Arabidopsis thaliana: one gene and its partners. The protein of the gene in region 2 interacts with the protein of the main gene of each other region in a pairwise test. Each region holds a gene or a part of one and is shown on either strand. Other genes may lie near its edges. The genes, in order: WOX1, NAC105 and AGL52.

Region 1 (5,244 bases), on a different chromosome or scaffold from region 2:
ACGAAGAACATAACTTTCGTAGCAATCTCTGTTTCTCTCTTTCAAAACCGGTTTTTATACGACAAGACATTTATAGCTTGTTTGGGCCTAATCCGATTTCATTGGGCCAAAGTCTGATTTATATAAGCCCAGAGTTCTTTTTAATCAATTTTTTATATTTATTTTGTATATTAGTTAAGTTCACTCAATGTGATTATTTTTCCACCAAAATCTTTCATTTATTCTTATGAATTTACCTAATAAATAGAATATAAAAGTGTGAAAAGAAAAAAAATCATGCTTGAAAATATCTCTGTTAAAAAGAAACGTAATGATTCAGAGTGCGTGCGAAATCACGTATGATAACAAGCTTGCAACTCAGAAAAAGTACTTGACGTTTGAAGAAAGCCATAATTTTGATCATATGAAATTATGAATGATTATCGTAATTTCTTTAAAACAAAAAATAGAAAGATTGATTAAGTGATACACAATTCAGTTGTAAGCCAATCATATTTCAAAAACTATGAGATTTTATCATTTTTCAGAAAGAAAGAAAAAACATAAGATTTCATCGATTTTTCTAAAAAAAATCATATTTATTAAGTTTGAAAGATATATCACAAAATAAAAATTGAGATAATCACTTTGTTCATGTATGTCATTATATAATACCTACACCTTGAATCCATCGCTACATCTCAAACAAATGAGGGAAATATATAGTTTGATCACATAAACATGAGAACAAATAAAAAGCAAATTAGATCATTTTTTGGTACATCTTTTTCAAACTCAGGGATTAATATATTTACAATTTTTTCCAAAAAAGGGAGAAAAAACAAAAGGATTAGATTAGGGCTTGGGAAAAGACAGAAAAGGGGGATTTAAGATCCCAAAGAGAAGAAAGAAGGAAAAGGGTTTTATCTATGGAAAAGCAATTGTTTGAGAGAGACAAAAGGAGAAGAGGTTAAGAGTGTAAAGGAGACAAAGCCTATGGGGCAGTTGAGAACAAGAATAATAGTGAAAGCCACAACACACACATACATACACATATTTATTTAGGGATCTCATATTCGTCGTAAAAAGACATATTAATCTAATACTATAGGATATATAAAAAATGAATGAAAGAAACCAAAAGAAAAAAAGAATGAAAGAAAAGGAGTGATGGGGAGAGATGGGAGGAATGTCACGTCGTTATAAGCTCCTTCGCATCTCCCCATATCATTCATATCATATCCCCCCAGAATTCCACGCCCCTCCGATCCTCTCTCTCCTCTTTTACTAGTCAACCTCATCTTCCTAGCTTCAATTCTTTTATTTATCATTCCAAAATTATGTAGCTTAGTGAAATTCCATATATAGCTGATCACTGCATTTATTGAATTCGCTTAACAAATTTAAAGTGATTTGTCAATTATCATCACTGTACTTTATTACGTGTTCAGGGTAGGTGTATAGTTTTATCACCGTGCTTTAGCTAGGGTATAAAATTTTGTGACATATATTTGGTTGGGACGAAAGTTAATTTTTTAAAAATCTATTTATATGTCAGTTTCTATGTATAGTGGTTAAAAGTACTTACATCATCCGCAGAGTAATCACGTTTTGATTAGCATTCTAGTGGTACACATTGTACATGAAAGCTTTTATCATGCAATCTAAGCTTAATGTCTATGAATCTACATGTTTTTTTTAGTTAAATGAATCTACATGTTACATTAATCGTATTGTGCAAACAAACATTCCATAGCTTCCTACAAATGTATGATATGATAAAATTTCATCATGGGAAAGTACTATATATATAGGTCGTTTACTAATCAAGGATTATATAATGTTATGTTTCTTTTCTATACAAACATATTTATGATTTTGCAGGACGGTTGAGAATTTTTAAAGTGAATGGAATAAAAGGAAATAAAATAAAATAAACTTTTCTATTCATATGTAGAATGTTAATATTCTGTATTTAGAAATAAATAAAAGGATGTGTTAAATTGTCTACATATACACACACACACATATGTGCTTACAAAACCACCCCATTTGCATGCTCCCATTCTCACATTCACATACAAAGATATCTCTCAACTTTATCACTCTTCTCCAAACCCATAAGCCAAAATAGCCAAAACTACTTTCTACCATTTGTCTATTACTCCTTCAACCATATCATTCACATCTCCTCAGTTTCGATAAAACAAACAAAGCCCTAATATTTTTACTTGCTATATCGCTGTCTCTCTCCCTTCTCCTCTATAAACATACATATAAATTAAGTACACACCAAAATGTGGACGATGGGTTACAACGAAGGAGGCGCAGATTCCTTCAACGGAGGAAGAAAGCTTCGTCCTCTCATCCCACGTCTCACTTCTTGCCCCACCGCCGCCGTAAACACCAACTCCGACCACCGCTTTAATATGGGTATCTCTTTCTCTCTCTCTCGTCAATTTTTGGTGAAACTTTCCAGTCTCTCTTTCCCTTGTTTCTAATGCTCATTTTCTTGCTTTGGTTACGATTTTCACAGCAGTGGTGACGATGACGGCGGAGCAGAACAAGAGGGAGCTGATGATGCTAAACTCAGAACCTCAACATCCACCGGTAATGGTGAGCTCACGGTGGAATCCGACACCAGATCAGTTAAGGGTTCTTGAAGAGCTTTACCGACAAGGAACTAGAACTCCTTCTGCCGACCACATCCAACAAATCACCGCACAGCTACGACGGTACGGGAAGATAGAAGGCAAAAACGTTTTCTATTGGTTCCAAAACCACAAAGCCCGAGAACGCCAGAAACGACGGCGACAAATGGAAACTGGCCACGAAGAAACGGTCCTTTCAACAGCAAGTCTTGTCTCAAACCACGGATTCGACAAGAAAGATCCTCCAGGTAAGGGACCATAACAGAACTTGGGGATTAACATTCAAACAATAAAAGTCTTTTTGGATTAGAATGTCTTTTTGGGTTGATTTCATTTCAAAATTGACGGTTTGAAAATTCATGTCTGGAATTTTGCAGGTTACAAGGTTGAACAGGTCAAGAACTGGATATGTTCGGTCGGATGCGACACGCAACCAGAGGTATATATCTCTATTTATACATATATTTGTTTCTAAATTGATATTATTTTATGATATGTATTATGTATATATGTTGCTCATATTCTGTGTTTATAATGGTCTTGGGGTTTCTATTACATGAAAGGGAGTGTAATTAAGGATTGAGGGTTTACATATATAATTAGCATATGATTACAAATAGAATCTGCTAGCTAAGAATAAGTGAATTCCTTTTTGGAAGTTTGGGTAAGTTATTGAAAGAAAAAAACAAAAGGCAGAGAGATGAGGCGGTGGAAAAGACCAAGAAGTTAATTTATGGGGAACTTCAAAATAAGTATTTTTGTAGCATATGCAAAAATACGTATATTCTTAGCATATAATTATGGTTTTATTTTGTTTGAATATTAGTAGTATCTTTTTAAAAAGATTATTGAATTCATCCAAAAAGCTGCAGAGACTTTCCTTTCTGTCGGCACAGCTGCTACGTACGATCGATCCTTTAGCTCTGTGTCTTCTTGTTTTTGCTGAATTTCCATAAATTAATGTGCTTTTTCACTCCAAACACATGCTTGAAAAGACCCTTTTGACCCTGGTCTTTAACGGTCTCATTCTTCTTCACCCCTGTCCCTATCTGGAATTTTGTTTTAAGCATAAAGTTTGTCGCTTTGCCAAATTTTGACTTATTTGTTACCAATTTTTACATTTTCCGATGCTAATTTGACTAATTTCAACACATCTTGAATGTTCTTTCTTTTGCATAATTAGAAACCTTCCCGTGATTATCATCTGGAGGAGCCAGCGAATATACGGGTGGAGCACAATGCTCGTTGTGGAGGAGACGAGAGACGAAGCTTTTTAGGGATAAACACCACGTGGCAGATGATGCAGTTGCCACCTAGTTTCTACTCTTCTTCACATCATCATCATCAACGTAACCTCATTCTCAATTCACCTACTGTTTCCTCCAACATGTCCAACAGCAACAATGCTGTCTCTGCTTCTAAAGATACGGTCACGGTTTCACCTGTATTTCTACGTACGAGAGAAGCAACGAACACAGAGACTTGTCATCGAAATGGTGATGATAATAAAGATCAAGAACAACATGAAGATTGCTCCAACGGTGAATTGGATCATCAAGAACAGACACTTGAGCTGTTTCCACTGAGAAAAGAAGGGTTTTGTAGCGATGGTGAGAAAGACAAGAACATTAGTGGCATTCACTGTTTCTATGAGTTTCTGCCATTGAAGAACTAAACCTAATTGAAGTCTTTCAAGAAAAACAGCTTTTTGTTATTAGATGATTAGTTTAATTATTCAACCGAGTTAGGGAGAGTGAAAAAGGATAATTAGGGTTTTGTCTAGGAGTAAGGGCAGGCGTGTCTTTATGGTGTTGATGTTAACATTTCATAAGGGTTTGCCTTAAAATGCACTTTGGACCACTTTCTTTAATTGTTAAAAATGAACCAAACAAATTTAAAAAGGAAAAGAATAGAAAGACATGTGATTTTCCCAATAGTTTTTTCATTTGTGTGGATGTGGTGACTTAGGGTTTAGATCATGAAACTTGCTTGATTTGGTTGGTGAATGAAGCTATTTGGTGCTTTGGTGATGGGATAATCTGTTACGAGAATGGGAACTCGTTATTACTCTACATCTTTCCTTTAATTTCATGCGTTATTTCTAAAGAATATCTACACACACATGCATGATCTATATATATATATATGTGTGTGTGTGTATGTATGTGGGGATCTGTTTCTATGAGTTATAAATGCGCGAGAGACAAAAAGAATTGGGTTGATGTTGAAATGACTAAGAGAGTGGGAAAATATTATTGGTTTGGCACTTGTTTTGTTTTTCTCTTCACTAGCATACGAACAATATGCCTTTACATTTGCTATTATATATACAGTATATTCCTCAAAATTGAATGACTATTCGGGTCATGGTTCTACTTCTACCTATAGTAAGAGATAATTTTATATTTTTTAAGAATGAGAGTTTAAAACATATTATTCAATTAATATTTATTTAAACAAAAATTTCCCATAAAACACTAGCTAAATTTTCATTCATCTATGTCTTACGTACGAATTTTAACATTTTGACAAATTTTAAACTAAATTGAAAGCTTCGATAAGCTTGGTTTTTGATGAAAGCATGAAAGGAATTAGATCACAAGATGTATGATTA
Region 2 (4,225 bases):
ATGGGATCGACTATTTCTGATCGATGAGATATAGTCGTAATCACATCACCTCGATTTTCCTGAGAATCCATCAAAAATTGAATAAATCAATCTCGCATATATAATAGACCCAGGAAGATGCCTGGAGAATCAAATCGCGATATATCAGTTACCTGAGAGCCTAGCAGAGTTGAATCTGATGCTCCCATTTGCTTCACAGACTCCGATTAGGGAATTTTATTCAAGGAATCAGCAGTTCCGTTTTGGGAGAAATCTGGAAACGCTCGTAGCAAGGTTTTCTCAACTCCGCCAAGGAGAAGGAGGAGGAGACCGCAATATGACGTTTCGCGCATGTGCAAGACAACAGCGTGCCGTTTTAAACCCCCAGTGACGACAATGTGTTAAAACAAAAAACGCCAGCTCGTTGGATATTCAATGGGTAGGACTAGGAGACAAAGCATGAGTAACACAAAGCCATGCTTCACCACGCATGGTAGACAAAAGCCCATTTTATTGGGCCCACCTTGAGCCCACTTCTTTATTAAATATATAAAAATATAAATCACCGTAATTTGAACGTATATTTTCGAGTCACTAATACATTATACGAAACAAACTGAGTAAGTGTAAAGCCCTATATATATCTTCTTATTCGATTCTCACCTTCTATTTATCCATCGAAATCAATTCCTTCGGTGAATTATTACGACCATATATGTAAATCCAAAATGCGACGACGTTTCTAGTGCATGCATGCATAGGAAAGCCTTTTTTAGTCTTCTCCACTCATCAAAAATTGAGACGCCACGAACTTATCTAGATATCTCCAGTCAGTGATCCTCTTCTCGGAGCTCATGTCATCTTTCCGGCTACTGTTCTCAGAAAAAGTAGTACTATGGGGAGTTATTTCCGACGGAAGAGAGGGGCTCTCGAGCTGAGGAAGCTGGGAGAATTGATCATCATCGATGCATTGAAGGTACATAGATCCGAAATCTCCATCCTGGACGTGACTGGCCTCGGAGAGTAGTTCTTGCTTGAACGGTGTGGCGGTAAAATCAGGATTATGTCTGGCTCGCTTGTCGAGAGGTTCCAAGAGAGTGGCGTCGTCGTAGAATAAGCAGTTCGGATCCCAAAGTTGCCTCCTTTTTGTTGGGATGGTCGTTCGTTTCTTAAATGCTCTACACACTACCCATCCTTCTTCCTGCTTCACCATTTAATCTAGCTAGATCAATCAGAATGTGTGGCGCTATAAGTGAATAAGATTCCGAATTACCTGTGGAGGAGAGTTCTGGTGTGACTCGAGGCTGTAGTATTCGTGAATGATCCAATCGGACTTTTGGCCATTAGGCGCTCGACCTCGGTAAAAGACAAGCGTTTTTCTCATACCGATAAGTTTGGAGTTGAGGTAAACCGCCTTGTCCCGGCCCGTTGCTTTCCAGAAACCGGCCACGGTGGCTCGGTTTGTCCTAGTCCCAGTCGGATACTTCTTGTCTCTATGGCTGAAGAAATACCACTCCGTTTGCTCCTCGTACCCTATCCTACATCTCTCTACACGTATCACATTTAGGTTACATATTACTCTTTCGAGCTACACAGTATAGTTGCTTACATGTGTAGGTGGTATCGTTTAAATCATAATTCATAAATTAACCCTAACTTCTAAAACTTGACCTCTCTAGATGTAGCCTTATATGTAGGGTCACTCGGGCACATAATTCATAAATTGCACATATAAAAGACGGAACCAATTATATTATATGAACGATTGATCACATGAATAAACATTGGTATCGAGAAGATATAAGAGAGACAGATAGAGAGAGATAGATATATAATATACCTTGTAGATCCCATGGTTCGATCTTGTAAAGATCAATTTCTCTGATAACGTCGAGATCAATCCTCTGGGAGGCGATTTTCTTCTTGAGATAATATCCGACAAGTTCTTCATCTGTCGGATGAAACCTAAATCCAGGCGGTATACTACACGAATAATCTTGATCAACCTTCATCATATTGATAGTTATTTTCTAGGATTTATTTCGCTGCGGTTTCTTCTTGATCTTAGAAAGATCGATCATAGAAGAAACCCGATCAACCGACTCTATCAAGGGAAAAACAATAGAACGAGAGTCTTATTGAAGATGTTGGTTAGGTATAGGAAAAGAGAGATATGGACCGTCCACTTGAACGATGACATGTGTGTTTAGACTTCAGAGTGTAATCATATGTTCATTTCGCGTTGGCGTAATTCACCATCACTCTTTCTGTACATATATGCACATTTATATACAAGATACACAAAAATATATGTTAGAAGATATGAATCTACAAATTAATATATATATATATATATGAAACGAAGTAATGATTATGTTACAACTTAGAATGGAGACATATGAAAAGGAGATTAAAAAAAAAGGTGGGTGGCTCCGTTTTGAGAGAAACGGGAGAGAGAAGCTGTGATTATCATCATTTTGTTTTTGTGTTACTTCATGCTCAAAATGATGTCTCCTTCAACAATCCTGTATTCTTTATTTTATATCATATATTCGTTTCCTCTTTATATATGTATTTAAAACACTCCAAATTATGAAAAGAATGACTATTGGAAATACTGAAGCTCGATGGTACGCGCGGTTGTAGTGCTACATTTTCAATTACAATCTGACGTTATGTGTCAAATGTGCTGATGTAAAACTTGTTTTGTCTGTTTGTCGTTAATTCTAGGGTCAGCACTCTGATCTCTGTGTTTGACAAAACAACTACATATTTCTCTCTCACACTTGATCTCACGCCTACAATACGATATGTATGTATTTTTACCTATAAAGCTAGTTACGTTGGTGAAGCGATGACCCGATCAAGTATATAACTTAATGTTAATTGGATACAATTCCTGCCTTTTTTTCAGCCAAAACCAAAAGGTTATATATGTAGAGGATGTTAGAGATGAATAGAGATTAAGATTTTTAGATGAAAAAGACATGCAATTGATCTTATATAAAGCATGCTTTAAGCAAGAGATCATATGTGTTTGAAAGGTCATCGGGTCATAAAAGAGGAATGTATACTGTATACAGTTTTAGACTTGACTTTGTGAGAATTGGACATTGGAAAATTGTGGAGCCCCTCCGTTTGCGCATGGTTTTTATGTAATTCTTTGGGAGTCAACTACTAGTAGTACAGTAGACTAGTAATGGTAGTAGTAAAGGGTTATATTTGTCATTTTGAACGCGGCTGTTGAAAACAATGCCAAGAATGTTCGGAAAGAGAGGTGAAGTGGAACACACGTAGCCGAATAGTATTGGTTAAACGGTTAAGTTCTTTACGTAGAAGGGTGAGGGCAACAAAGAAGCGAAGGGTTTGAATGGGTCTTAGCAAATTAACATTTACTAGAAATAAAAAAATAAAAACGTTAATGGACTCCAAATTTGGCGGTGGTAAAAAATCAGATATGAACCAGCGCATTGACAAATAAACGTGATTTATTAATCATGCTCTGGTTTGAAAAGGAAGTAATTAATATCAATTTCCTTATTCTTTAAATTATGCATATAACAAAAATAATTTCAATGCAACCATTATGAATTGGGATTACATGATTGAAAATCATTCACTCTATACACACTCCTAACCCCAAATCAATAAAACCTCTAGTCTTAGTGTTTTGACTTTAGCCGCTCATAAATATCTGAGAATGATGATATATATATATGCGTTTTTATTTTAAACTTTTTGTTTGGTATTTAAGAAGGAATTGTCCCGGCTTAACATTTCTATCTATGACTAGATATTAACCCGCGGTATACCGCGAGCCTATATTTTTATTAAATAAAAAATAATTGAATAATTTTTAGGATGATTTAATAAATTTATGCTATTGTTTGATTTAAATGTATAATTCACCGCGAGACGAAATTTTATAACTCAAATTTTAAAGTTTTAAGTTGTATTTGTTTATTTTGTTAAATGTTTAATATTGTATAATTGTATTTTGATTGTTGTTTCTCGGATTTCACCCGTAGTACACCATCCCATATTAATATCGAATCAAACCCGTCAATTCTAGAATTTCACCCGTGGTAGTATTTAATTGTATAATTATATTTTAATTGTCATCGTAGGATTTCACTCCTAATTCTATCGCAAATTATTATCAACCCAAACCAGTCAATTCTAAAATATCACCCGTAGTACACCATCCCATATTAATATCGAATCAAGCCCGTCAATTCTAGGATTT
Region 3 (3,366 bases), on a different chromosome or scaffold from region 2:
TGTGAATTAGTTAAATGCTCTGCCACTTTAAGTTAGTGTTTCTTGCGGAATTGTGAGTAGTGACCTCTTACTTTTGTGTCTTTGAGGAACCATGGTCCCTTAGCTCTGTTGCATAAGCAGTTGTTGGTATCTCGCTTGACTTATTACTTCATTTGATAGCTAATAGTTTTGTTTAGTTGCTGAATTTGGTGTATGATAGATATTAAACCCTTCTGTTGCTATCATAACTGTATGATTTGTAATTTTGTTGATGGTTTTAAGTTTATATGTTGATGAGCAGGAGATGTTCATGGTCAGTTTCCAGACCTCTTGCGGTTGTTTGAGTATGGTGGTTATCCACCAGCTGCGAACTACTTGTTTCTTGGGGATTATGTTGATCGTGGTAAGCAGAGCATAGAGACGATATGCCTTCTTCTTGCCTATAAGGTCAAATACAAGTTCAACTTCTTTCTTCTCAGAGGCAATCACGAATGTGCTTCAATCAACCGTGTATATGGATTCTACGATGAATGCAAAAGAAGATATAATGTTCGCTTATGGAAAACATTCACCGAGTGCTTCAACTGTCTGCCTGTTTCTGCTCTCATTGATGATAAGATCCTCTGCATGCATGGTGGACTATCGCCTGATATTAAGAGCTTAGATGACATCAGGAGAATTCCTCGTCCTATTGACGTTCCTGATCAGGGCATTCTTTGTGATTTGTTGTGGGCTGATCCTGACAGAGAGATTCAAGGCTGGGGGGAGAATGACAGAGGTGTCTCTTATACATTTGGGGCTGACAAAGTAGCTGAGTTCCTTCAAACTCATGACCTTGATCTTATATGCCGAGCTCATCAGGTAAAGCTAAAATTTATTCCTTGAGTTCTCTCTTTTGATTTCTCTGGATTGGTTTGTTCTTCTCTGTGACTGTTCTCTGAATTCAGAGGGTTAAGAAATCATAACTCAGTTGTTAATGCAAGGATCTGTAGTTTTTTCACCAAGCCAAGTTTTACTTAACTATACTGTTCCTGCAGGTTGTAGAAGATGGATACGAGTTCTTTGCAAAGAGACAACTAGTGACAATATTCTCTGCACCCAATTACTGTGGCGAGTTTGACAATGCTGGTGCATTGATGAGTGTTGATGATAGCTTAACATGTTCATTCCAAATCCTTAAGGCATCTGAGAAGAAAGGAAGATTTGGATTCAACAACAATGTTCCTAGACCAGGAACCCCACCTCATAAGGTGTGAAAATACTATCCCCCTGTATATAGATGCAATGTAGGTAGATGTTAGATATCAGGTTTGATATGTTAACATTCTTGCAGGGTGGAAAAGGTCGTTAACTCGTCGTCGATGGGTTCAAGAAACGAGTGAAACCGACGGGTTCGAATTTTGTAAGGCAAACAGTTTGTTTTGTTAGATTGTTATCTGTTTTCTTATGGTTGAGGCAACATTATGTTTTGTTTAGATTTTTTTTGTAAAAATTGTGGAAGATGTTCACAGCATTTTCAACTGAAGAAAGTTGGGTTTTATACAACTAACCTTTTAGAAACATATTCTAAAAACATAAACGTAAAATTTATAAAAATAATAAAATGAAACTTGAAAAACAATTATCTTATTTGACGTAATATATACTATAAGCTAAATAATAAGAGAAGAGGTAACCTAGATTTGAGGATAGATACTGCTTTTATCTTCTTCACGCGTCGCCGACGCGTATGCTTGTTCCCGTAGGCACCAAGGCAATCTATATAAACATATTGAGTGAAGTTTCACAATCTTTCACCATCAATTCCACAATTCTGCTTCTTCTTTGTGTGTTATCTCTCTGTCGGAGAAAAAAAAAACCCTAGTTTCTTGCTTGGCGAATCAAGGCAAAATCACGATGAAGCAAGCTTCTTCTTCTTCGTCATGTAATCCAACAAGTTTAACAAACAGACTTAAAACAATCTTTAAGAAAGCAGAAGAGCTTTCGATTCTCTGTGCTATTGACGTTTGCGTCATCTATTACGGACCAGACGGTGATCTGAGAACATGGCCTAAGGATAGAGAGACAGTGAAAAATATGGCTTTGAGGTATAAAGAGGACAGAAAACGCAAGAAGTGCCTCAATCTTCATGAGTTCCTCGAGAAAGAGAAGGTGAAGGACAAAGACAAGTATAAGGGGAAGACGAATTATGTGAAGAACCCTAATTGGTATCCAAACTTTGATCATTACTCTCCTCAACAACTCTCTCAATTGATTCAGTCCTTAGAACGAACACTTTCTACTCTCCAAAAAAGGCTTCGTATTGTTGAGTCGCAGAAAAAACAGAACACAAACTTGGTGCATCAGAGTTTAACACCATCGTATCTGAACCAGACACAACACTTGGATCCTAGCAAGTTCTCGCTGTATATGTACAACCATGGAGATGCTACTCTCTCACAACTCCCACTGTCTGCTTCACAATCCAATCAACTCATCAATTACCAGATGCAGCATGGTTTTGGTCAGAACATGTGTTTGGACAACATCACCAACAACAACAACTTTCAACATCCTGGCGTGTCAAACACACAAGACTACTCACCGTTACTTTCGGCGAATAACTACGGGTTGAATAATCACTTGATGCAGCAACAGGATCAGCTTCATGGTTTTGATCAGAACTTGTGTATGATGAGTGAAATCATCAATAACAACAACGGTTTACAACATCCTAATCTCTCAAACACTGTTCCACATGAATTCCCTTATGGTAACACTAGCTTCTCTCAAGATATGTTTTCGAGCTATGATGGGAGCAGTTTGCTACAGACATCTTCTCTGCCACCTCTCCACAACATTCCTAACAGCTATTGTTTTTCTGACAACTCAAGACTTCTCTGCTAACAAATCTGTCCAAAAGGATTTGTTTTTTGAAGCTTCATTAAGAGTCAGTCAATACTTATAAGTAGGAAGCTGATCAGAGAGAGATTGAAGCTGTTTTTGCTTCTGAATTCTTCCTGCTACTGTCTTTTTTTATTTTACAGTGTTGTTATAACTGTAAAACAGATCCATTTGTGGAGATTTTGTTTTTACTTTTAAGTTGGTATTTCAGTTAGTATTATATATATATATATATATATATATATGAACTTCCATAAAAGTCTTTCACAAAAACTTGCATGAAACAAATTATAATCTAAAATCACTTATGGTGACAAGACTGTTTCAATTGGTTGATACAACCTGCAAAGTGAAATCCTTTACTCTTGCATCTTATAACAAACTTGTAACTTAGTATCCTTCTTGTCTGAATCAGCTAATATATACATGAAGATGGAAAGTAGCTCTGATTTCGTGAAGACAAATTCTCTGCACCCAATTACTGTGGCGAGTTTGACAATGCTG

Evidence for each region.
Region 1: the proteins of NAC105 (region 2) and WOX1 interact in a two-hybrid assay, tested with the Arabidopsis thaliana proteins (one large-scale study listed by BioGRID).
Region 3: the proteins of NAC105 (region 2) and AGL52 interact in a two-hybrid assay, tested with the Arabidopsis thaliana proteins (one large-scale study listed by BioGRID).

What each region holds. Positions count from the first base shown.
Region 1 is NC_003074.8:6,160,216-6,165,459, reverse strand, and holds WOX1 (WUSCHEL related homeobox 1), read left to right. Parts: upstream 1-2,006; 5' UTR 2,007-2,276; coding exon 2,277-2,412; intron 2,413-2,515; coding exon 2,516-2,878; intron 2,879-3,007; coding exon 3,008-3,069; intron 3,070-3,813; coding exon 3,814-4,305; 3' UTR 4,306-4,727; downstream 4,728-5,244. Other genes in the region: AT3G18020 (Pentatricopeptide repeat (PPR) superfamily protein), read right to left, coding at 1-11. UniProt on the Arabidopsis thaliana protein: Transcription factor which may be involved in developmental processes.
Region 2 is NC_003076.8:26,479,254-26,483,478, forward strand, and holds NAC105 (NAC domain containing protein 105), read right to left. Parts: upstream 2,276-4,225; 5' UTR 1,995-2,275; coding exon 1,820-1,994; intron 1,528-1,819; coding exon 1,253-1,527; intron 1,181-1,252; coding exon 752-1,180; 3' UTR 513-751; downstream 1-512. Other genes in the region: AT5G66290 (uncharacterized protein), read right to left, coding at 1-59, 153-188. UniProt on the Arabidopsis thaliana protein: Transcription activator that binds to the secondary wall NAC binding element (SNBE), 5'-(T/A)NN(C/T)(T/C/G)TNNNNNNNA(A/C)GN(A/C/T)(A/T)-3', in the promoter of target genes.
Region 3 is NC_003075.7:6,847,703-6,851,068, forward strand, and holds AGL52 (AGAMOUS-like 52), read left to right. Parts: upstream 1-1,875; coding exon 1,876-2,865; downstream 2,866-3,366. Other genes in the region: TOPP7 (Calcineurin-like metallo-phosphoesterase superfamily protein), read left to right, coding at 281-840, 1,017-1,229, 1,313-1,330.